Drosophila melanogaster: one gene and its partner. The gene in region 1 interacts genetically with each later gene. Each region holds a gene or a part of one and is shown on either strand. Other genes may lie near its edges.

Evidence for each region.
Region 2: of robo1 (region 1) and kuz, changing one enhances a phenotype caused by changing the other (phenotypic enhancement), as found in Drosophila melanogaster (one study listed by BioGRID).

Annotation. Positions count from the first base shown.
Region 1 is NT_033778.4:22,697,930-22,702,786, reverse strand, and holds the start of robo1 (roundabout 1), read left to right. Parts: upstream 1-1,816; 5' UTR 1,817-1,909; intron 1,910-2,191; exon of another isoform or gene 2,192-2,590; intron 2,591-2,752; 5' UTR 2,753-2,834; coding exon 2,835-2,985; intron 2,986-3,052; coding exon 3,053-3,174; intron 3,175-3,410; coding exon 3,411-3,591; intron 3,592-3,702; coding exon 3,703-3,821; intron 3,822-3,881; coding exon 3,882-4,335; intron 4,336-4,395; coding exon 4,396-4,857. Other genes in the region: Obp59a (Odorant-binding protein 59a), read right to left, coding at 1-70; CG30259 (uncharacterized protein), read left to right, coding at 283-861, 918-1,343.
Region 2 is NT_033779.5:13,548,513-13,553,138, reverse strand, and holds the start of kuz (kuzbanian), read right to left. Parts: upstream 3,001-4,626; 5' UTR 2,846-3,000; exon of another isoform or gene 2,719-2,845; intron 1,998-2,718; 5' UTR 1,537-1,997; coding exon 1,473-1,536; intron 1-1,472.

The DNA of each region.
Region 1 (4,857 bases):
TGCATTTCAGTGCGTAAATGGAGCAGGTGCCGCAGCTCAAACAAATCAGCAGGAAAATCAACTGTTTCATCTTGGGAACTGAATGGAGGAGCAGCTATGCCCACATCATTTATAGTTCTGGAGAATGGCATCCAAATTACAGAGTGACTGACGCACAATGAACCAAGACACATATCAATCTTAATTTTACAATTGCGTGCAATGCTCTTCGATGATTATATTTTACAATAAAGGTTATTTTAAAAGTTTATGAAAACATGTTAAATTGAACCCCACTTCCAGATGCAACTACAGCTGGAGCAGATCACCTCCAGAGGTGAAGCTCGATTGGAGAAGCTGTGGCAGGAGTATCAGGGTGTTCTGGCGGGCTACTGTCAGCACATCGAAGGCTTTTACTCGGAGTACGTGGATCTGAAGCAGCGGGATGAGGAGGCAGCCCTCCAGATTAGCCAGCAGACCCACGAAATCGAGCACCTGGTAGACCAGCTGACCAATTTGCGTCTGGTCTCCGAGGAGTTCTACATCAAGCAACAGGGCCAACTGGAGCAGCGGCAAGCCATCAAACAGCAGTTGACCGAGCGACTAAGGGAGCTACGCACCTGTGTGGAACAGGAGGTGGCCAGGGATCACCAGTTGTTCAAGCTGATGTCCGTGGAGAGCTACCATGCCTTGGAATTCCTCCAGGAAACTGTGGCCAAGGGCGAGACTCTGGCACAGTTGTCTGCGGTCTGTGCCAAGATGGAAACCCAGCGGGAGCGGATGTTCCAGTTGCCGGAAATATCCAAGGAGATTATCGAGATTCGAGATATAGAGGATCAGGGTAATGGTTCCTTGACTGACCCAGCCACTGATCTTCTTAAGGTGAGTAAAAATGCCAGTAGGTAATTTCTTCATTCAACATTGGTTTAACGTACCAGGACGAGGTGGCAGTGGTACCCCAAATGGAGTCCTTCTGGCGACGCGTCAACAACGTGGCCGTGGACGTGGCCTGCCTGAAGCAACAGAAGCGTCGCCTGGAGGCGGAGAACAGCCAGCTAAAGACGCAGCTGCAGGACTACCTGGTAAATTTGAACATTGCCAATGGCTCCAATAGCCACGTCCATAGCTATCTAGCCCGGCGGCCCAAGAGCATGTCCGTGGACAGAGTGTCGCGCCTGCAGCTCCAGCCCAAGCTGGTGAAGAGTGCCCAGCCGACTGGTCGTCGCCCAGCGGCGCCCACACCTCCCACTTTCCACTTGCATCCAGGACGCAGCCGAGCGCCTGCCTTCGAAGCCAACCTCTCCAACGTGGTTCTTTCGAGGACTTTGGCTAGGGGAAAGATGAACCTGGCCAGAATGGAATAATTTGCTAGACTCTGTAGTTATTTGATTAATGCAGGGAAACTATATTAAACAAAACACCTTAAATTGGTGTAGGAACTATTCTCTACCATAACAATTATCTATATATTTTTATAGTATTTTACAGTTGGTTCTACCGTGAACATGAATATTAATATATACGTATTTAAGCAATCACACACAAATTATATAGATATTCTGAATAAAACGGAATTTTTTAATAAACCATTCAACATCACAATACATACATTAATTTAAATATTTACATTTTATTAATATCTTAAAACATAGTTGGTATATCTTTCGATTTCAATTTCAATACAATAGAAATCAATTAAAGATTCAAATAGTTACTTTACGCGGCGCTACCAGATCAACTGATAAATATGTCCTCTGGTATTTTCGAGTATTCCTTTTCGGTACACCCCAAAATATATCGATATATCGATTCCGGGCGTTGCGCTCTCAAATTTCCACAGACACGACCCACGTCCAATTGTGAGTTTTCGCTGCGCCGTGAATCGCACTAAAGAGCAGGAAAATAGTTAATTTCCAACAGTTAAATTGGAGTAAGTTTGCACCCAAGAAAGTACGATCCAACCGCGAAGCTTCCATTTGAAGTAGATACTCGTTTTCGGATATTACAAAGTGCAGCTGCTGCGGATGTAAAGCAAATATTACAAGGAGTTATAGATACAACACTCTGTTATAGATATAGATACAACAACAACGGGGGGAAGTCCCAGGAACGGCAGGCGGTGCGAGCGAGAGGCAGCTAGAACGGCAGTGTGTGCGAGTGAGAGGGGTGGCGGGGCAGTTCTTGTTCTTGTAATTTTACCAAAAAGAAATTTCGTTCGGGAAATGTGGAAAATGTGCGCGAGGAGAGATGATGGAGAAAACAACCCCGAAAAGCGAGCAATCGTCGAATAAATACCAACAAAAACTTACACTGCGCGGCTGATTAATAAAATCCAAAAAATAAAAAGGAAAATAAAAACCAAATCAGCGAACGATACAAAAAAAGCGTTAGAAAGAAAGTGTGAGAACGTGAAATCAAAACTCCGAATCAGAATTTGGATTGTAAATTTTCGGGTCGGTGCGACTGAGACTGAGCGATAAACACAAAGGCAGATAAATACGGAAATAAAATTAATGGAAAACCAGCATAGACACATGTGTGTGGGTGTGTGAGTGTCCAAGTGTGCGTGAGTGTGTGCGTGTGTGTGTGCTTATCGCATGGAAATGCAAGCGTAAGTGGAGCAGGCGAGAAATAATTTCGAGTTTTTGGACAGATAAAAAGCAAAAAGCAAGTAAAGCCCATAAATGCCTAGCCATAATGCCGCCACGCCTACATATGTAACAGCTGCCCACATTTAGTTAACCCACATACTATCACCTATCATGCATCGCAGGACCCAAAAACAACGCCAAAATGATCGCCGCTGCATTGGGTCATCTGTAGAGTCGTCATTGCAACAGCACCAACACCATAAAATGCATCCCATGCATCCCGAAAACCACGCCATCGCCCGGAGCACGAGCACCACTAATAACCCATCTCGCAGTCGGAGCAGCAGGATGTGGCTCCTGCCCGCCTGGCTGCTCCTCGTCCTGGTGGCCAGCAATGGCCTGCCAGCAGTCAGAGGTAAACCCATCCTGGGTAATCCTCCCCAGGCCCAGTGGCTAATCCACATCCTTCCTACTCCTTTCAGGCCAGTACCAATCGCCACGTATCATCGAGCATCCCACGGATCTGGTCGTTAAGAAGAATGAACCCGCCACGCTCAACTGCAAAGTGGAGGGCAAGCCGGAACCCACCATTGAGTGGTTTAAGGTACCCACCAAATAATACTTTTCTAACTTGAATCACCATTACACTGGCAAAAGAAAACTTGATCTTAATGTTTTCATATCAATATTGTATATTTATTTATCTTTAAATATCAAAACAAAAATGAATTCAAAAATTATACAAAATATAAGTGGTTTTGAGTAGTTGTTTTTTTCCGTGTAGCCTTCGAAACCGAACCAAATCGTAACTCAATCACCCCCTCTTCTTTCCGCTCTCAGGATGGCGAACCCGTCAGCACCAACGAAAAGAAATCGCACCGCGTCCAGTTCAAGGACGGCGCCCTCTTCTTCTACAGGACAATGCAGGGCAAGAAGGAACAGGACGGCGGAGAGTACTGGTGCGTGGCCAAGAACCGAGTGGGCCAGGCCGTTAGTCGCCATGCCTCGCTCCAGATAGCTGGTAAGTTAGTCCGCCACTCTAGTCTGCTCTCCAACTTGTCTGCCCACACGCCCAGCTTTGTCTCCGATTATAATGTGCTTTTTTGATATTTTTGCAATTTTTCTTCGCTAGTTTTGCGCGACGATTTTCGCGTGGAGCCCAAAGACACGCGAGTGGCCAAAGGCGAGACGGCTCTGCTGGAGTGTGGGCCGCCCAAAGGCATTCCAGAGCCAACGCTGATTTGGATAAAGGTGGGTTCCGAAAACCAGACTGCGAAAGTCAGTTGTCTAAACCGCTTTTTGTGCTCTTAGGACGGCGTTCCCTTGGACGACCTGAAAGCCATGTCGTTTGGCGCCAGCTCCCGCGTTCGAATTGTGGACGGTGGCAACCTGCTGATCAGCAATGTGGAGCCCATTGATGAGGGCAACTACAAGTGCATTGCCCAGAATCTGGTAGGCACCCGCGAGAGCAGCTATGCCAAGCTGATTGTCCAGGTCAAACCATACTTTATGAAGGAGCCCAAGGATCAGGTGATGCTCTACGGCCAGACAGCCACTTTCCACTGCTCAGTGGGCGGTGATCCGCCGCCGAAAGTGTTGTGGAAAAAGGAGGAGGGCAATATTCCGGTGTCCAGAGCGCGAATCCTTCACGACGAGAAAAGTTTAGAGATATCCAACATAACGCCCACCGATGAGGGCACCTATGTCTGCGAGGCACACAACAATGTCGGTCAGATCAGCGCTAGGGCTTCTCTTATAGTCCATGGTAAGATTAAGTTCCATTACCAAAGAATCGCGTTTTAATCTTCAATTGTTTTCATTAAAGCTCCGCCGAACTTTACGAAAAGACCCAGTAACAAGAAAGTGGGACTAAATGGTGTTGTCCAACTACCTTGCATGGCCTCCGGAAACCCACCGCCATCTGTTTTCTGGACCAAGGAAGGAGTATCCACTCTCATGTTCCCAAATAGTTCGCACGGGAGGCAGCATGTGGCTGCCGATGGAACTCTGCAGATTACGGATGTGCGGCAGGAAGACGAAGGCTACTATGTGTGTTCCGCTTTCAGTGTAGTCGATTCCTCTACAGTACGGGTTTTCCTGCAAGTCAGCTCGTTAGACGAGCGTCCACCTCCGATTATTCAAATCGGACCTGCCAATCAAACACTGCCCAAGGGATCAGTTGCTACTTTACCCTGTCGGGCCACCGGAAATCCCAGTCCCCGTATTAAGTGGTTCCACGATGGACATGCCGTACAAGCGGGCAATCGATACAGCATCATCCAAGGAA
Region 2 (4,626 bases), on another chromosome or scaffold:
AAAACTCTTCTCCGATAGCTGTTGCATATATATATATATATATTTTTTTATAATTTTTTCATTTTTAATCATTATAATATGGTTTGTGCAGCCCAGACAGATAATGCCGAGACATTGACCTTTTTCGCAGATTTTTTGTTTGTCTCTGGCCTTTTCTATTCGCCTCGCTTCTGGGTTCTCGGTTCTTATGTCTGCTCTCTTTCTTTGTTGTCAGATTAGCCGGCCAAGTGGATAAACCAGTTTTTGCCTCCGCCACTCTTCTTGGCTTGATTCTTGGCCCTCAATCCTCACTCTTTTACCCATGTTCATGTTGCTTGACTTTGGCTAATTAGCCAAGAGTGGAAGTTGTTGTCATGATCCCTCGCCCCGCCTCGAATTTCGTAACGTTGAACTTAGGAAAATCTTGCCATGCAAACAAATTAGTTGAAGTGGCGAAAAAACGGTCTTCAATGCAGTAACGACATTTTTTTTATCACAAAACACAATATATTCATAAATTAAGTAGCACAACTCTGATATATATATTTATATATGTAGATGTATAAGCTAAATGTTTCATTCCTACTGTGTGTTTCATACCGAAGTATATAGTTTTAAAATTTTGTAAGTCCCCTTTTGTTAAACCCAAGCTAACGATTTCACAATAAAAATGGATGAGTCCCCTGAGCTTTACTCAGGTTTTCATGACTCACGTTATACCTTATGCTTTTCGCCTTCTTCGCTCTTTTTGCCCCAACAATGGACTTGCTTTGTGGAAATAAATAGGTAGAATCTGAATTTGTATATTTACATGAACATACATACATATATGAGTAGCTAACTTAAGTGTAAAAAAAGTACATTCACGGCTATATAGATTGTTATTAGAGTCGGTTGAGTTTGAAACCTTGGCACCTGCAAGTGAGAATATTGCTGAAAGCAAACACTCTGGGTCACAAGAAAATCATTCTGTCAATTCGCTTGGAGTGACAATAGCGAAATTAAATTAATTATGCAAAGCAACCCCATTTGTTTAATAACAAAATACACCCACAGCATAGTTAGGGAGGCGAGAAAACCCAAAGACAATTACCCAAAGTGTCTACTAAAATTATAAGAAACCCTCTGTGTTCCACCCTCAAAACGATACCCTTCCCCTTCCCCCTAATATCCTTCACTCGTCAATTATCCTGGCAAAGTACGTAATTATTTTTGTTGCTCGAAGGGTTCTGGGTGAAAATGTTAACTTTGTTTCCGCCTGATTGAGCACTTATTCCAATGTTATTGTCTATGCGTCATTTGCAGCACCCTCGGCTGTATTTCATTTTAAGCCCCGATTGTTGTGGTTTCTTCGGTTGCCAGTGAGTCAAGTGCAGAAAAAAAACACCAATGCTTTATGTATTTTTAAATTAAAATATTTAAAAAATTATATGAAATAGGAACGGAAACCATTTAGATTACATTGTTAATCAATGTTAGTTTTTCGAACTTACCATTTACGATGATGATGAAAATGATCGATACGAATACAATGTTGAAAGCACATTTTGATGACATTATTTGCGATGGGGATCCAACGTGGATGGCTGTCGACTAAACAGAACTAGCACCAAATTTCTGCTTGCTTTTGTTTTATTTTTTATTTTTTTTATTTCCGCGAAGGTCGTTGATTGGTCTTAATAATTTCCTTGTGGCAGTAGTTGGTTGCGTTATTGGGCGGCACCTCGCACTCCAATCTTCGCGGGTTTTTTAATCAGAGCTTTGCACTTTCCATGCCATTTACAAATTTAGCACTTTTTGCATGGGCCATAAAACTTCGCAGCACTTTTTCGCACGCACGAATTATTTTTGCTATTTGTTGCAACTTCTTTTCGAGCTCTTGTCACGTACACTTTTCTTATATTTTTATTTTTGTTTTATTCCAATATTTTCTCGTTAATAAATTAAAAGCGAAAATAAAAAAGAAAAATCTTCTTTTTTGATTGATTTTGTGTGTTTATTCACTGGATTGTTTATTTCTGAAGGCAGAAGAGCGAGACATTTTGATTGATTTAATATTATTAAAAATATACTATTTAAATATAAAAATAGGCAATTTTATTTGTTTTATTGTTTTTTTTATAATTATGTTTTTTACTATTTACGCTATATTCATAAGTTCGGTATGCGTTTTTTCTTGTTTAATAAGTTTATGAATAGTTGGAAAACCAAAACATTAGCAATACAAACAAACATAAAATCACAACAAAAACAGCTATTGGCCTTTGCACTCACACAGAGGCAATGAGCAAGCGCGGAGAGGAGAGCAAGAGAGGGAGATGCAACAGAGACGACAAAGAGCGACGGAAGACGGAAAAGGAGAGAGCGACAGCTGCGGCGCAAACGCAACAAAATGCATTAAATTAATTATTGTTGCTTTTAAAACGCTTGTTGTTGCTGGCACAAAAGAACAACAAATCGATTTGTTTACAATGCTGTTTCAAAATAATTAAACAGAAAAATGTTTTCGTGAATAGTATTATGTGTAGTTTAACTTCGCAATAGGGCTAATTTAACAATGTTTTTGCATGTTTACTTATTTTCGTGTGCCTCGTCTTGTACTTCTTTCATGCTCTCTCTTTTATGTTGCTTCTCGGATTGCCTCTCTACATTTCTCTCTCTCACTCTCGTTTGCTATGTGTTGCCAGTAAATTAAATGCGTTGAAATGCAGCCATTTTGTCTCCGCAATTGGCACTCACTTGAACTCCGGTCGAATTTTTTGTTTAGCCACAATTCTCAATTGGCCAGAATTGGGGGCATTTTCTTTGATTAGCGCACATTTCTTAAGCCTGACTTGACGATATATATTTATTTTTATTCGCTCACCCGCTCGCACATTAGCACACACACACACACGAACGCACGCACACATGCAAACGCACGAACACGCGTCCAGCGATTTTCCGACTCCCACGGCGTTCCGAGATCCGTTACAAAGAGTTACGCGTCCAACTCGCTTGGTGGTTTTTTTTAAACTACCCGATTTCTCACCACATATACAAATGTACTTCAGTCTTAGAGTGACCAGTATCATAAAAAGAGATAATCTTTCTAATGCGTTAGTTTTCGTGTGCGTTAATACTGATATTGACGAGAGATGATACAATGACTCATCGTATTCACTATAGTATATTAATAATAGTTAGATTCATTAAATAAAACTTATTTAGGCAACAGCACTTACTTTTCAGCTAATTAAACATATTTAAACATTATTGATACTTACGCATAAGGTATACAGCAAATACAAATGTTATTTATGTTATTTAAATTAAGCTATTGCAAAATAATATTTTAAACTCTAAAGAGAATTTGTTTAATTGAATTAAAATTAAAATCATTTTGTTTTGTGAGCTTGTGTACTTCTTCGTTCATTTACATAAATTTTTTTTTGAACACTTAAATTCAAAAAAGGCGCCAAAATTACTTTATTTTGCAGCCCTCGTCCACTTCAACGAAAATATTTTTACGCCTGGTGGCAACCTTTATCATATGGAACCAGTGTTGCCACATTTGATATTTTAGATTTATAATGAAAACTATTAGAAATTTGATATATTTAACAAATAAGCTGTTTACATCAGAAGCTTGTTTTGTTGCTATGCTAATAAGCTGGATAGGGCCATTTGCTATGGTTATCTACTGATTTAAATTTGCCTATCGCTTACTGTGATAATTTGAGTATACGTTAAAATACAACCATTTTGAATCGCGCGCTCATTATTAACATGCTCGGATTTTTTAGTGATAAACTCGTTAAGACGCTCTGAGTTGTGTCACCTGGCAACACTTCGTCAGATGCTCATCGAGTGTTGCTGCGGGTGGACGTGCTCGCTTTCTCTGTCCGTTACCGTTACCTCGTGTCTGCGTTCACGTATCCGTGTGTCTGTCCGCGTTCCCCGTCCGTGTGTGGGTGTAGGTGCGAATGTGTGTGTGCCTTTGGTCGCGTGTCGTCGCCGCTTTCATGTAAACGAAGATTGTGCAAAAGGTAAACGCCAAACGGTGGCAACAACAGTAAATGATAAACAGAAGCGAAACAACTAGCAAGCGCAGCAACAACCACAACAACACAAACAGCAAAGAAGCAAGCAAACAAAACTTGTGAAATACTTTTTGTTTATTTTTTTTTTATTTTGGCCTGGTCTGGTGGCAAGTGGCAAAAGCTATAAAAAACGATTCTCGAAAACAGGTTTCCTGCGTGAGCGAGAGAGAGAGAGAGAGAGACCGAAGCGTTTACTGCAAACTAGAAGCTCAACTGCTGCCGCACAGTGGTCACTACAGTTCTAAGCTTGCCCCACTGTGCGCCCAGAACTTGTTTTCTTCTTCTTTTCATTCGATTCCCCTCCCCACTCCTTCGTTCCAACTGCAGCTAACTACTCCTTTCATCGGGCGTTTTAGAATGCATATTTGGTTTATGGGAAGCTCACATGCAGCGCCCCCCGAAATCAATACGGAAAACGGTTTTTCCCGAAAGAGCCGTTACTTTTCGGGAAAATCCCCATTCCACGGCACCTCGGCTCTGCCACAAAAATCAGCTGGCTCGGCAGTCGGCGCAGCTCTGCCGGCGTCGGCAGTGGAGGGACTGCGTCGGGCGCCTAGCAACAGAG